Oryzias latipes: one gene and its partners. The protein of the gene in region 3 interacts with the protein of the main gene of each other region in a pairwise test. Links are inferred from orthologs where the notes say so. Each region holds a gene or a part of one and is shown on either strand. Other genes may lie near its edges.

What was found.
Region 1: the proteins of nme7 (region 3) and coiled-coil alpha-helical rod protein 1 interact in binary tests that used the Homo sapiens proteins (3 or more experiments, as listed by UniProt). The link is inferred for Oryzias latipes from reciprocal best matches to the Homo sapiens genes NME7 and CCHCR1.
Region 2: the proteins of nme7 (region 3) and telomere zinc finger-associated protein interact in binary tests that used the Homo sapiens proteins (3 or more experiments, as listed by UniProt). The two-hybrid records come from large-scale screens. The link is inferred for Oryzias latipes from reciprocal best matches to the Homo sapiens genes NME7 and ZBTB48.
Region 4: the proteins of nme7 (region 3) and fkbp6 interact in binary tests that used the Homo sapiens proteins (3 or more experiments, as listed by UniProt). The two-hybrid records come from large-scale screens. The link is inferred for Oryzias latipes from reciprocal best matches to the Homo sapiens genes NME7 and FKBP6.

Annotation. Positions count from the first base shown.
Region 1 is NC_019872.2:16,061,926-16,065,277, forward strand, and holds the end of coiled-coil alpha-helical rod protein 1, read left to right. Parts: intron 1-610; coding exon 611-712; intron 713-878; coding exon 879-1,024; intron 1,025-1,101; coding exon 1,102-1,204; intron 1,205-1,287; coding exon 1,288-1,433; 3' UTR 1,434-2,804; downstream 2,805-3,352. UniProt on the Homo sapiens protein: May be a regulator of keratinocyte proliferation or differentiation.
Region 2 is NC_019865.2:24,218,238-24,221,619, reverse strand, and holds the end of telomere zinc finger-associated protein, read left to right. Parts: intron 1-76; coding exon 77-165; intron 166-2,161; coding exon 2,162-2,362; 3' UTR 2,363-2,707; downstream 2,708-3,382. UniProt on the Homo sapiens protein: Plays a critical role in transcriptional regulation and chromatin remodeling. Acts as a regulator of telomere length. Directly binds the telomeric double-stranded 5'-TTAGGG-3' repeat.
Region 3 is NC_019862.2:27,538,133-27,541,820, forward strand, and holds part of nme7 (nucleoside diphosphate kinase 7), read right to left. Parts: intron 2,189-3,688; coding exon 2,078-2,188; intron 1-2,077. UniProt on the Homo sapiens protein: Possesses an intrinsic kinase activity. Displays 3'-5' exonuclease activity with a preference for single-stranded DNA. Does not seem to have nucleoside diphosphate kinase activity.
Region 4 is NC_019882.2:22,096,880-22,100,567, forward strand, and holds part of fkbp6 (inactive peptidyl-prolyl cis-trans isomerase FKBP6), read right to left. Parts: coding exon 3,617-3,688; intron 3,515-3,616; coding exon 3,395-3,514; intron 1-3,394. UniProt on the Homo sapiens protein: Has an essential role in spermatogenesis. It is required to repress transposable elements and prevent their mobilization, which is essential for the germline integrity.

The DNA of each region.
Region 1 (3,352 bases), on a different chromosome or scaffold from region 3:
CCTTTAGAGGAATTTTTATTTATTTTTATTATTATTATTATTATTTTTTTTTTTTTACAAAAAATAGTACCTAAAAAGGAAAAAAAGTGAAGAAAAATACCACAAAACCATCCAACTGTGGAGACTAAAACCCAGATATAGAGGGAAGGAAAGCTGAAGTGCTGATTCTCTGAATCATTTAGGATTGTGTTGGTTGAAGGCAGAGGGCTGAAGAGGATGTCTGACTGGCAGGTCGGCATGCAGGCATCCACATTAGTTGGAGCAACAAACAATTGATGAGTGGATTATGATTTTGGCATGACACACTGCTGAGTTGATGAGATGAATGATTGCAGGCAGGTGTACAGCCTGAGAACCTGCCAGGCAGCAAAGGAGAGAGGAAGAAAGAATTACACCCAACACTTTGGTAAACAGACAGAAAAAACCTCAACGGGGAAAAGAGGCTGCAAAAACACAACTTTTTTTCCTTTAAAAAAAAAAAAGTGATCAGAAGTGTCTTTTACTCGTTCCTTTGTGCTGTTTCATTATGTTGCCCTGGAAAGGAGAATTGATCCATTGATGCACTGAAGTTGAGTTCATCCCCTGAGGTGCATTTGTTCTTCTCCTCCAGCCCTGCAGGAACGAGTGTCTGCGATTGAGGCTGCGCACGCTGAGAAAACGAAAGAGCTTGAGCTCCAGCTGCATGCAGCCCGCAGAGAGCACACCAGAGCAGGTAGATCCTCGTCGCTGCCTGTCGCAGCTCCACGTCAGAGCGCCGAGGTTTATTACTGATGCAGACTGTAATTTAATATGGTCGAATCTGTTTGCACAGTATATTAGCCGTGTGATGGAAGATCATGTCCCTGTGGCTTCTGATGTGTCTGTTTTGTCTGTTGCAGTTATGACTTTGCTGCAGTTTCAGAGACAGGCAGCAAGACAACACGATGAGATAACAGAAACTCCAAACTGGGGGGGTGAAAACACAAAACAAAATGTCCTGAATAAACATGTAAAGGAGATGGAGGGGAGCAAAAAGTTTCTACATGTAAGAACAGACTTTAAAACAAAAACGCTATACAAGAAATGTGTGTGTGTGTGTCTTTTAACGTGACTGTGCTTTAGGTCATGGCCTCTAAAGAGGCCCCGATGGCAGAACACGCACAGAGTCGAGAAACTCCTTCAGAGAAGAGGACTTCTGTTGAAGCAGAGGTCCACCTTCCTGCAGGTGCTGAGAAATATCCTTAATCTAATCGTAACCAATATTTTAGACCCTAACATTCACACAGGGCTAACTCTGTTTTCTCCAAGAGAGACTCCTGAGTGTTTTGGAGGAGCTCCACACGCTTAGCGCTGCTGTAGTAAACAGCTCTGAAGACTCTTCAGAGGAAGAACTCAGAAGTGACGACAGGAAGACTTCTGCTGACCTTCTGGACAGTCAAGACATGAAGAACTGAAGAAGTTTAACTACTGATTAGAAATATAAAAAAATAACCCTATTTTTACTCCATTAAGTTGAGCCATAAAGGCTGGAATCACTTTCATGTTGACTAAATAAAAATTATAATATTTTACATAATCTATTAGTTATTGTGACTTTTTAAATTAAAATCAATAAGAACTCAGGAAAGTATACAAACACTCGTGAATAGTGGGGCACAAACAGATAATCTTCAATAATGTACTATTTCTTTATTATTTTACTACTTTTTAAAATGTATTTGGGTTATTTAAAGGACAGTCTCGTTTCCTACTTTAATTTTGCCGTTCAGCTAAAGTAAGGATTTCCTGCAAAATGCTTTTGGGAGTTGCCTCCAAGTGTTTTCTCGTCACACACAAAGCCTTTTTTTTTCAAATTACATTTAGGCACATTGGTAAAGATTTTCTACTGTAAAAAATCTATATTTTCTATTTGACACTCCTTTATAGAGCAGTCATAAGAGCAATGAGGATAAACACCATGACGAAGCAGGTAATTGTGCTATTTGTCATGCTGTCACCAGTGCTGATAAATTCAGAAAAAGTTCAAAGTTTTAGGCCCTTTAGGTAACAATTTAATAGTCTTGATGAAGTGTAAATATACCCACTAATAAAATCGTCTTTACTCTAAGCTCTCTGACCGCCGGAGAAGTGATTCATCATTTTAAACTGGTCAGTAACTGATTCAGCTTTACTGTTCTAAAAATCTTACTTTTACTGCATATGGTCTAAGAGACCCTAGTGAAATTCAATAAAAAATTACAGAAGTTCGAAGCCTAAATTTAGGTCACGTCCTGTTGACACACCTGAAACCCATTTTTATATTTTTTTGGTTCTTTTTAATTATTATTTAAGTTTATTTGCATCTTTTGGTTGTGATGTTGGTGAATTTCTTTTGAATATTGAAGGCTGATGGTAGCTTGTCTTGCATTTTTCTCTGCAGCACCTTGCAAGTGCACAGAATGACCAACAGAGGGCAGTGTTGTCAAAGCTGAGCTCAAAGCGAACAGCCCTCTTGAAAGGAGGAAACAAAAATTAACTAATAACGTTAATCATCTAGGTTGAAAAGGTTTTGTATGAATAAGAGGATAAAAAGGTGTAGACTATATTCTAATATTATTGATTTAAGACATGGTGAAAAATTGACTAAATCAGGAGAAAAATCTAATGAATAAAGTAAAAAAAAAAGAAAGAAAAAAACTGGTTGTGTTTTACTATTTAGAGCTAAGTAGTTCTGAAAAGTTATGAAAACTAAATATTGCAAAAATTAATCACACACCTGGGAGTGATCTTCAGTCAGCTCTACCTTTCTGGCTTCACTGGCCTGTTTACTGCGATTGACTGTGCAGCATTGTTGTGAGACCCAGTTTCCCCTCCTGCTTGTCAAGTTCATTGGGTCTTATCACAGAGTACCGGGACAAGCCCAAAAGTCTTTTGCTGCAGTCTCTGGTTATCATCAGGTGTTTTTTTTTCCCCCTGTCTCCTCAACTTTTCCTAATTGTGAGTGATCCAGTGATATCAAATATATGTGAGTCAATGCACAAAAAATAATTTTGAAACTCAGAGTTTTGACCAAAACCAGATGACATTTTTACAAGCAGATTTGTGATTATTAAATGCCTTACCTTAACGTGGAGTGTGAATATATTAGATGTGTATTTTATTGTGTGGGGCGTCTTTTTCTTTTTTTTTGCAAGAATAGGGATTGGGGGTTTCTGTATTCTTGTTTGTTTTTATGTGCAGCACCTTGAGCTGTTTTATATTTTTTTACATGAAATGTGCTTTATAAATACAATTAATTTGAATTTGAATAAAACAGAAGAGTTTTTGTTTTAGAATTAAAAAAAAAAAAAATCAAAGGCTTGCTGTGACTTCCTTTCACTGAAATGAAACAAAG
Region 2 (3,382 bases), on a different chromosome or scaffold from region 3:
TGACCTGGTCACAAACACAGATCTCTGTTGGCGCAAAAGAAACTGCAAGCTGTTTTTTTTTCTTTCCTTTTTCCAGCAAAGGAGCAGATGCGTGTCCATCTGCGACGTCACAAAGGGGTGAGGAACTTTGAGTGCAGCGATTGTGGCTACAAGTTCACTCGGCAGGTTAGTGCAAACGCAACACTTCAGAAAAATTAGATACAAAACACCAAATAGATTTTGTTGTTTTAACATGTTTTCTTAAAATTGAAAAATACTGTATAATCAGAGAAAATATGGAGAAACAGGCAAAATGTACGTTTTTAGAATTTAGTAAATCTCTGGTTTTAGTCGATAGAAATTTTTTTTCTCATACTGTCAGAAATCGGAAAATGATTGATGGGAGAAGAAAAAGTTTTGACGTACTGACATATGTCACACCCCATGTGGGATTTAAACTTTGTTGGCCACGAAGGCTACAAGGCTTTATGAAGTTTTGCAAAGGTTGAAATTAGTGCAATCGGAGGGGGGGGGGGGGGGTATTTTTACTGCACCAGAATTACTTTACTCTGGGGTCGGGTTCATTTAGGAGGTTTAAAAACGTATCTGAACCCTGGTGCTTACCAAAGGTTATGTGAACTCTGGACCACATCAAAAGTGAACCCCGACCTTGCAAGTGAATCCTGGTGCAGATAACTACAGTGTGAATGCAAATATACTGTTGAGTGGACCAAAAAGTCAAAAAAGCGAACCAAAGCGAGTGGTAGGTGTAAGAGCCATGTCATTCGGATAATCTGTTAATAAAAATGTTTAAATTTCTTATTGGTTTAGTTTTTGTTAGTCCTTGTTCCATTTGAGTTCAGCCTCAATCGGTGTAAATGCAATCAGTTCAGAGACTTAAGAGGGAGCCAATTTCTAGAACAATAACTGTTTGAGAGGACAAAACATTCTCCTTCCTTCTTAAGGTATGTGAAAGAGTGTAACCATGAGGTGCTTGATCTGTCCGTGTTCATCCTGATATAAAAACAGGCAAACTTCAGAACAGATGGAAACACACATGCAGTGCAGCTGAAACACGTTCATATCCCAGATCATTTCATGAGGGAAGAAGTTTTGGGAATATAAAAATGTTTTAGTTTTATAGTTAAGATCAAAATCCGACTGGTTGGGGCCTAGACAATGGATTTAGTTTTGACCATTACATTGTTGGTTCCACCACTGCCACAGTGTTTGTGCTTCAGCAACTGATCAACCAACTGTTTGTCAGCAAATTTGTCATTTTTCAGACATGGAAGGAAAAACCCAACACAAATGGATGTGACACGTGTCCATCTTTCTGAGCTGTCGCCAGCGCCTTTCAAGATTTAGATTCTGCATCACAGAAAATTTAAGAAACGCAGGAAAAAAACTAAATTGTGACTGATTTTAAACAAGAATAAAGCATAAAGAGTAAATAACTAGGAATCATTTTTCTTTGTAACTTAATAAACAAAAATAATAATTTGTTCTGCACTGCTTTTCTGATATCTTTTTCCCTGTGGAAGCAATTTAGTTACTTAATTAAATAAAATTAAGTTTTTATGTTTAAAGACGCGTGTTGCAACCATTGAGTGTATAAGAACTGGACTGAGTGACTCCTCCCCCCTGGTATTCCAAACAGGAAGTACCCTCTGGCTTCAAGAAGCTAAACTCCCAGACTTCTGTAGAGAAATAAACAGCTGTTACTCAGTCAATCTATTTCTCAGAATCACCATTTCTTGCTCTGTTTTCTTTTTATAACCTGCTATATATGAAGTCAGAAGCCTCAATAAAAGCATGTGGTCTCACGTTGTACATTCAAAACGTTAAATGCCAGATTATATCAATTCCACTTTAAGTAGGGGTGTGGACTTCCAACAAGCTCACTCGATTGGCGAGAATGGTTGCTATAGAAAGAATGACTCAGACCAACCAATCACTGCCTACTGACGTCGTCTGGCTATAACACGGTGACATCTGTATAGTCAAAAAATTGCACTTTCTGTGACGTCACACTCAGTCCAGTTCTCGTATACAGTCAACGAGGAAAACTTATTTTCTTTAATTCCAAACTGTTTGTTTTCAACTATGAGGGATTTGTGAAGATGCTGTAAAAGCAGCTTGTCTTTCAGGAATCACCCCTGTCTTCCGTCTTCTACTCCAGGCTCACCTGAGACGCCACAGCCAAATTCACAAACGCACGGAGAACTACAACCCACGGCAGAGGAAGCTGAGGAACGTCATCATCCAGGATGAAGGGGAAGCCGCAAATCCTGGTGAAGCCCCGAATGTCATTGATGCCTCCTCAGACTCCACAGACCTACTGTCCGACCTGGGCTCCATTCGTATCGTGACAGTGGAATAGTGGAAGTAGTCGGTAACCAGAAAACCGGACAAGCTGAGGATGCAGGAAGCCTGTCTGTAGTTAAGTCTGCTGGACCACCAGGCTTTGGGAGGACACGGTTATAAAGAAGACTCTTCTAAACACCTGACATTTCCATCTTTTTCTCAGTAGGATTTGTGCTTGATATTAGAGATATTGATCCCTAACACAATGTTATCCAACTGACCTGAAATCTGAAAAAAAGAGAGTCTGCTAATGTTTAGACAAAGAATTCTAAACAGAAGAAATGCACGCTGAAGTAGGATCCTGCATGAAATGTAATTAATGTAACTACAGCAGATAATTAAAGTTCACCACTCTTCATCATCTTGGACTTTTTTTTGAATAAGAACTGACAATATTTGAGGTTGAAAACTACATAAGCCTACGCTGTAAAATGCATAGAAGTCTCACTCCGATCATCTTTTGATCTGTTGTCAAATCGTTCCCAGTAGTCTTTACTTAGGATCATGCAGATTTTAGGCCAAATCAATAAACCTGTATCGTTGTGTAGGACGTAGTTTGTGCAGAATGGCAGGAGTTCAATAGAAATTCATGACTAGTCAACTGCCTCGGTTCCATCTGCACCTGACTTGAGCTCTTGCTGGGGCAGTGCTTAGGGGCGGGGACCTGGGCTTGGCCGTGGGACCGGCTCTCTCTTGGGTCCTCTTTCTTTGACTGACCCCCGATCATCTGGAAGCTGTCCCCGAGCTGCCGTCCTTCCTCATTCGACAAGTTATTCGGGTGATTACAGTTTTGAGGAGGTGTGGCGGCGTCCTGTGTTATGGATAGTGGCCTTTGTTGCTTTGCTGCTAACTCTCTGGAGGTCATTGACCAGGTCCCCCCGTGTGGTTCTGGGGGTTTTGCTCACACTCTAAAAAGAAACAAGTTGATCCAACTTAATGGAACCACTTCAATTGGTAAAGGGTAATTGAATGAAGTTTATTCAACATAATTTTTTATGTCTATCCAACTCAATTTAATATGTTGATCTAACTTAAT
Region 3 (3,688 bases):
AGACAAGACAGGAGACTTTCAAAATAAAACAGGAAACAGAAACAAGACAGAACAAGGACCAAAAACAAGACAACAAAATCAAATCATGACAGTACCCCCCCCTCAAGGAACCGCTCCGAGGTTCCAAAAGTCACATGAGGGGGGGGCCCCGGAGGATAAACCTCGACGGGCACAAGAGTCCGGAGAACGGCCGGGGGTCCGCGCCGTCCGGCGAGGCAGGTCCGGAGGACGGCCGGGGGCCGAGCGGTCCGGCGAGGCAGGTCCGGAGGACGGCCGGGGGGCCGTGCGGTCCGGCGAGGCAGGTCAGGCGTGGTGGAGTCGTCAGGCGTGGTGGAGTCGTCAGACGTGGTGGAGTCGTCAGGCGTGGTGGAGTCGTCAGGCGTGGGGGAGTCGTCAGGCGTGGTGGAGTCGTCAGGCGTGGTGGAGTCAGGCGTGGAGTCAGGCGTGGAGTCAGGCGTGGAGTCAGGCGTGGAGTCAGGCGTGGAGTCAGGCGTGGAGTCAGGCGTGGAGTCAGGCGTGGAGTCAGGCGTGGAGTCAGGCGTGGAGTCAGGCGTGGAGTCAGGCGTGGAGTCAGGCATGGAGTCAGGCATGGAGTCAGGCATGGAGTCAGGCTCCGGCGGGTCGGGCCAGCAGTCAGGCTCCGGCGGGTCGGGCCAGCAGTCAGGCTCCGGCGGGTCGGGCCAGCAGTCAGGCTCCGGCGGGTCGGGCCAGCAGTCAGGCTCCGGCGGGTCGGGCCAGCAGTCAGGCTCCGGCGGGTCGGGCCAGCAGTCAGGCTCCGGCGGGTCGGGCCAGCAGTCAGGCTCCGGCGGGTCGGGCCAGCAGTCAGGCTCCGGCGGGTCGGGCCAGCAGTCAGGCTCCGGTGGGTCGGGCCAGCAGTCAAGCTCTGGCGGGTCAGGCGTGGAGCCGAGCTCAGGCGGGTCAGGCGTGGAGCCGAGCTCAGGCGGGTCAGGCGTGGAGCCGAGCTCAGGCGGGTCAGGCGTGGCAGTGGAACCGGGGACCCATCGGGGCGCAGGCGGCACCCCCCTGGGAGCCGGGACGGGTCGGGGCGCAGGCGGCACCCCCCTGGGAGCTGGGATGGGTCGGGGTGCAGGCGGCACCCCCCTGGGAGCCGGGACGGGTTGGGGTGCGTCCGGGACCACCACTGGACATGGCTGTGGTGCGTCCGGGACCACCACTGGGGGAGGTTGTGGTGCATCCGGGACCACCACTGAACGTGGCTGTGGTGCATCCCGGACCACCACTGAACGTGACTGTGGGGGACGGCGGGGACGACGGCGACGTCGACCCCCCCTCATGGCGAGACGGCTCCCAGTTTAGTCCTGCTCTGCTGGGTCCAGAAAATTTGGTTGGTCCATTCTGTCAAGGTGCAGGGGGGCTCGAGAGCCGGTAGGACCCAGAATGCAGAGGCAGGGGCACGTGGTTCAAGGGCAAGGGGTTTAATAGTAACAAAAAGCGCTGCAGAGCAGGATGACAAAACAAAACTAAAACTTACTGTGGCATGGCGAGGGACAAGGAACAAGGCATGAACACCATAACAGGGGTACTGGACCAACACAGGAGGAAGGCAGGGACAAGACTTATATACAGACAGGGCAGACAAGACACAGGTGGACACGATCAGGGCTGAATGGGAACCAAAGGAAGTAAAACTCAAGAAACCAGACAAGACAGGAGACTTTCAAAATAAAACAGGAAACAGAAACAAGACAGAACAAGGACCAAAAACAAGACAACAAAATCAAATCATGACAGGTTCATTTTGAAAGAATCCGATTGGAACCGATTCACTGACCCAAAACGGATCCAGAACATATTCAACCAGTGTGACTCATAGATAAATACCTGGTACTGAAAAGTTCAGGTGACGTTTTCCAGATTCCTTGTATTTCTTGCAAGATAATCAAGTGTAAATGAAATATGTGTACAAACAAACAAGTAAACAGAATGAATGTCAAATCCATTCACATTTTAGTTTCCTAAAGTTCAGTCCACTGTTGTTTTTCTACATCCAAAGAATCATGTCAGTAAATGTCTGACAGGTTGCTCCAGCACATCTGGAGGGTCATCGTGATCTCACCATGAAAGTCTGGTCATCTTAGCTTTGGTCACGATCAGGTTGGAGGAGTAAACCAATTCCATCACATCCCCGATCTTAGTCACAACATCTGGCTTTATCAGAGCGAGAGTTCTGCACAGACGGAGACAGAAAACAGCTTCAGAGAAAACATCACAGCACCGTCACATAGTCTTCTTCAAGAACTCACAAAATGAGGGGAAAGATGAAAGAAACCTTTGACATAACTTTACTTCAGCGTCCTGTGGAGATGATGTTCACCTTTCTGATTTGCGTGTTTTAATCCTTCCATTAGCTTTGAACCCTCGCCATAATGCTGCCACCACAACACTGGTATGTGCAGCTTTTAAAGGGCCGACATCTCGCTATGCTTAAGCCTTTTACAGTAAACTATATCCATGCGTATGACAATACCTTTGGTCCGCTAAACACATTTTTTGTCCCCCTGTCCCCAAGAACCCCCGCATAACTGGCCTCAATGACTACAGGCCTGTGGCACTCACGTCTGTAGTCATGAAGTCATTCGAGCGTCTGGTCCTCCCCCACCTCAAATCCTTCACCTCCCCCCTCCTGGACCCTCTGCAGTTCGCCTACAGAGCCAATAGGTCTGTAGACGATGCCATCAACCAGGCCCTACACTTCATCCTGCAGCACCTGGACTCCCCGGGAACCTATGCTAGGATTCTGTTCGTGGACTTCAGCTCTGCGTTCAATACCATCCTCCCCTCTCTGCTCCAGGAAAAGCTCCTCCAGCTCAACGTGCCTGACTCCACCTGCAGGTGGATCACTGACTTCCTAATGGACCGGAGGCAGTGTGTGCGGCTGGGGAAGAATGTCTCCACCACCCAATGCATCAGCACAGGAACTCCACAGGGCTGTGTACTTTCCCCTCTGCTCTTCTCCCTGTACACTAACTGCTGCACCTCCAGCCATGACTCTGTCAAACTGATCAAGTTTGCAGATGACACCACCCTCATCGGACTCATCTCTAATGATGATGAGTCTGCCTATAGGAGGGAGGTGGACTGGCTGGGGTCGTGGTGCAGCATCAACAACCTGGAGCTGAACACCCAGAAGACAGTGGAGATGATCGTGGACTTCAGGAGAGTCACACCCCCCTCACCCCCTCTCACCCTGTCAGACTCTCCTATCAACCTAGTGGACTCTGTGCGTTTCCTCTGCACCACCATCACGCAGGACCTCAAGTGGGAGCCATCCATCTGCTCTCTCCTCAAAAAGGCCCAGCAGAGGATGTACTTCCTGCGGCAGTTGAAGAAAGCCCGGCTGCCGGCCCAGATGATGGTGCAGTTCTACACGGCCATCATTGAGTCCATCCTCACCTCCTCCATCACCGTGTGGTACACTAGTGCCACAACCAGGGACATTAACAGGCTACAGCGTATTGTGCGCTCAGCAGAGAAGGTGATCGGCTGCAGCCTCCCATCTGTCCAGGAACTATATGTCTCCAGAACCCGGGGACGTGCAGGCCGGATAGCTGCCGACCCTTCCCACCCTGGACATTCCCTACTGAAACTACTCCCTTCAGGCAGGAGGCTAAGGTCCATCAGGACCAGAACCTCCAGACACAAGAACAGTTTCTTTCCCTCTGCAGTC
Region 4 (3,688 bases), on a different chromosome or scaffold from region 3:
TTTAGATGATTAAATTGTTTCAATTTAGTTTAATTGTGTCTGTTGGCCACTTCACCTTCATCCTGTTTCTTAGATGCTGTTATTACTTCTTCTTAAGTTATTAGAAAAGTGTTTCAGTTAGAAAGATGACTTGGACTAAACTCTGGGATGTTTGGCTGTTAAGAAACACAAACCTGGAAGGAGAACTAAACTGTTGACCTCTGATTTCATCAAGAAGATTTCAAAACTGATGTGTGTTCGTTGTGGTTTAAGACGTTTGACAGGGAAGACTCATTGTAGCGCAAAGATGCTGTCACTTTAACCCAATGCATCATGGAAGTGTAGAAGAGTAGTGCCAACTCCCGCAAATGGTGCTTCAAGGTTTTGTTCACTTGTTCCACGGTCTGACACCGGATTCTGTGGAAAGCTACTTAGCTGGTATTTTTGTTGGAACTGAGAGACTTTATGAGCAGAATCAGAACAAGGAAGTGAAGACTTTAACCACTTCTGATTGGTCAGACTGATGACGTCTGAATAAGCCTCCAAGAATGATTGGTGGAGACAGTTAAAGGGGCGGGACTTTTCCAAATAAACAGAGCTGAAGCTGTGGCTAAATCACGGTACCATCATTCTTAACAAAGTGTCTTTAATAGAATCAAAAAAACAAAGAAAAAAGTATTTTATCATCTTTCATATTCCTAAATACTCAGTGTTTTATCAGGGCCTGTTTGGATGAACACAGAGCTGATATCCTGGAGATGGAAATGTTTTTAGATCAGTGAAAATGGGAAATCTCCCACGGCACACCTGGGGGGTCTTCCAGAAAGCAGGTTATGCTAGCTACCACAGAAGCTGTCATTTGCCAATTTAAAAAGGGAAATTTTGCAGGGAAGATGCATTAATATGCGAGTTCAGGGGGAAAACTTTCACTTTTGCTCAAATTAAGTTTATATCCTGATAACTTTAACAGTAGTGTTTGAAAAACCGGAATGACTGAGGATATGACTTCCGCCGAGCGGCTATATACATTGACATGTCAGCTCCGTAATATACGAGACGATCTTCTAAACGTGCTTTTAATAATGTTACGATTATTATGAAGCACCTGTTCGCCTGTTTTATTTTTAATCCGTGTGTTCAGCGCTTTTTCTGTTGAAGAGCGGAGCCGGAAAGAAGCCACAATTAGTAGCATGCTAACACGGGCTAACAGCATTAGCTTTGGGTGGCGCTGCTATCTGCATCCTGGCTGCACGTAAACGTGGGAATAACATCAGCCTTTATTTTGTCGGGACGCGACTGGAAACACAAATCTACGTGATTGTTTGAACGGTTTCTAAGGACTGAGCGACATTTCTGCTTTGAAGCTCACACCGCCGCTGTGTGTGTGTGTGTGCTGACGATCCGAGCTGTGCTCAAAGACACACACTTTTAGACCCGGTTCTGAGTTCGGTACCCCGTTCCCCTAGAGCTGCGGGACGGATCGCAGTCCTAAATCTCCCACACACACCGCTCATGTAACATAGCACCCCCCCCCCCCCCCTTCCCATCAAACACAAAGCTGTAAATCTGCGCTCCATCCGTCCACTTGACTAGTTAAGTGCGGGAACGGACTAATTCTTTTCTATTTTGTTTGTTCTTTTTTTTTGTTAAAGTCACTTCCCTCAGTTTATACTGGATCATCGCGGATGAGTCATTATTTGGGAAATAAAATAAATAAAGTAATAAACTAAAATAACGAATAGCAATTATGTAAGACAGAAAAATTAAAAACAGCGCCCCCCCCCCACGACGATATCATCGTCCATCCCGATGGTTGACAGCAAACATCGTCAACAGCCAATTTAAGGGACATCGCCCAACCTTAGTCCACATTTAGCAGGCTTATGGGTTGGTAGGAGGAGCAAGAGAGGGGGCCTTTTTCCTTCTTCAAAATCAGAGAAATAATGACTTGATTAAGTGTCTGAGGTAGCATCCCCTTAGAGTATGCCTCATTATACATGTCTAATAACAGCGGAGCTAACTTATCCATGAACTTCTGAAGGATAGCCATCAGGGCCTGGACATTTACCTGCTTGGAGAGACAGAATTGCCGTGTTAATTTCCGACAATGAAATGGTCCTGCCCAAATTATTGGCATCTTCCTGATCGACGGTAGGAATTCTCAATGTTGAAAAAAAAAATAGCCAAAGTCCACATCTGTTGGTGTAGCCTCAGACATGTATAATGTTTCGTAAAATTCTTTAAAGGTTTGGTTAATCTGAGAAGGCTCTGTAGTAATACCCCAAGGGGTTAGAATTTTTTAGATTTGCTGCAAGGCTGAAACCCGTCTAATTTGGTGTGCCAAAAGTTTGCTTGCTTTATCTTCATGTTCAAAAACTGGGTACTGGACTGAAGCATTAGCTCAGTAGTACGATATGTCATAAGGGTGTCAAATTCAGCTTGAAGAGAGAGAGACCCTCTTTATAAATATTTGGAGAAGGGGAGACTGCATTCATAGCATTCCAGCTGTAATATTTGCTGTCTCGAGTCATTCAGTTTGTCACGCCTCAGTTTTTGTTCATAGTGAATATAAAAGATTATCTCCCCTCTAATAAAAGCCTTGAAGGATTGCTCTGCTCGAACTCTTTGACTATTCCCGCCCGCATATTTTCCATCATTCCCTCCATGCGTGCTAGCATACGATCGCTAGCATCCGAGGCGGGGTCGATGGGCAGCTCAGGTGAGGCTGGAGGTTTGTTGCGGCCTGATTTCCCCATCTCAGATTTCCCTCAAGATGTTGTGATTCAGACGAATTTTCGGAGCGGAAAAAGCAAGACCTGGCGCCGTGCAAGTGACTAAAAAAAGGTGTAAAATATGAACACGTCTCACATGTTCAATGATCCACAGCGCCCCCGTGTTTATTCTTTTCAGTGTAATTTTATTTCTTTGTTGCTATTTTGCAGGCTCTGTTTGCTGCTTTAGCTGGTGGATCTGCTGGCTGTCATTTTACAGCAGCAAAGTCAGGGTTTGCGCCGCGGACTCATTGCCGTGACGTTGTGCTACTGTGGACTTTATAGTTTTGGACTCCAACCGGAGGCCGGACGACAAAAAGGCATTGATGGCTACTAATGTTAAAGGATGTTGCCAATGAACGTCAGGACTTTGCACTGAGCCTGGGAGTCAGCCGTTGAACTTGTGGGTGGGGTTATATCTGGGCCCTGGTGAGACCGAATACATTCTCATGGTGGTATTTTAGGATGTCTGTGTTCATTTGTCTTTCAGCAGTAGAGTTGTTTGTTTTTATTGTTTTCTAGTGGAAACCATTTTACCACATAAGCAAGACTGCACTAACAATTCTTGGGGTCCAATACCCAGGCCCCACACACAGACATGTGGCCCTCAGCAGGTCAGAAGACAAAAAACTGCAACAGCTTGCCTGTTTGTAGCTGCCTTTAGCCCGGTAATGTTGGCTACAGCTGAAGTAGTGGTTGCCAAGGCTGCGCAGAGTGTTGGTCACCTCAAGAAGCTCAGACAGAGGAACTGAGCTCTGCTCCTCCTGAGGACCAAAGACACGAGAAACAAACCTCAATTAAGAGAAATAACACATTGAAACTGATGTGTTATTCATGACTCCTCCCACCCTTCCACACATACTGACCGGACTCATGGCGAAAAACTCCTCCACTTGTCCCGAGTCAAAATAATCCACAATCTGAACCTCGTACAGAAC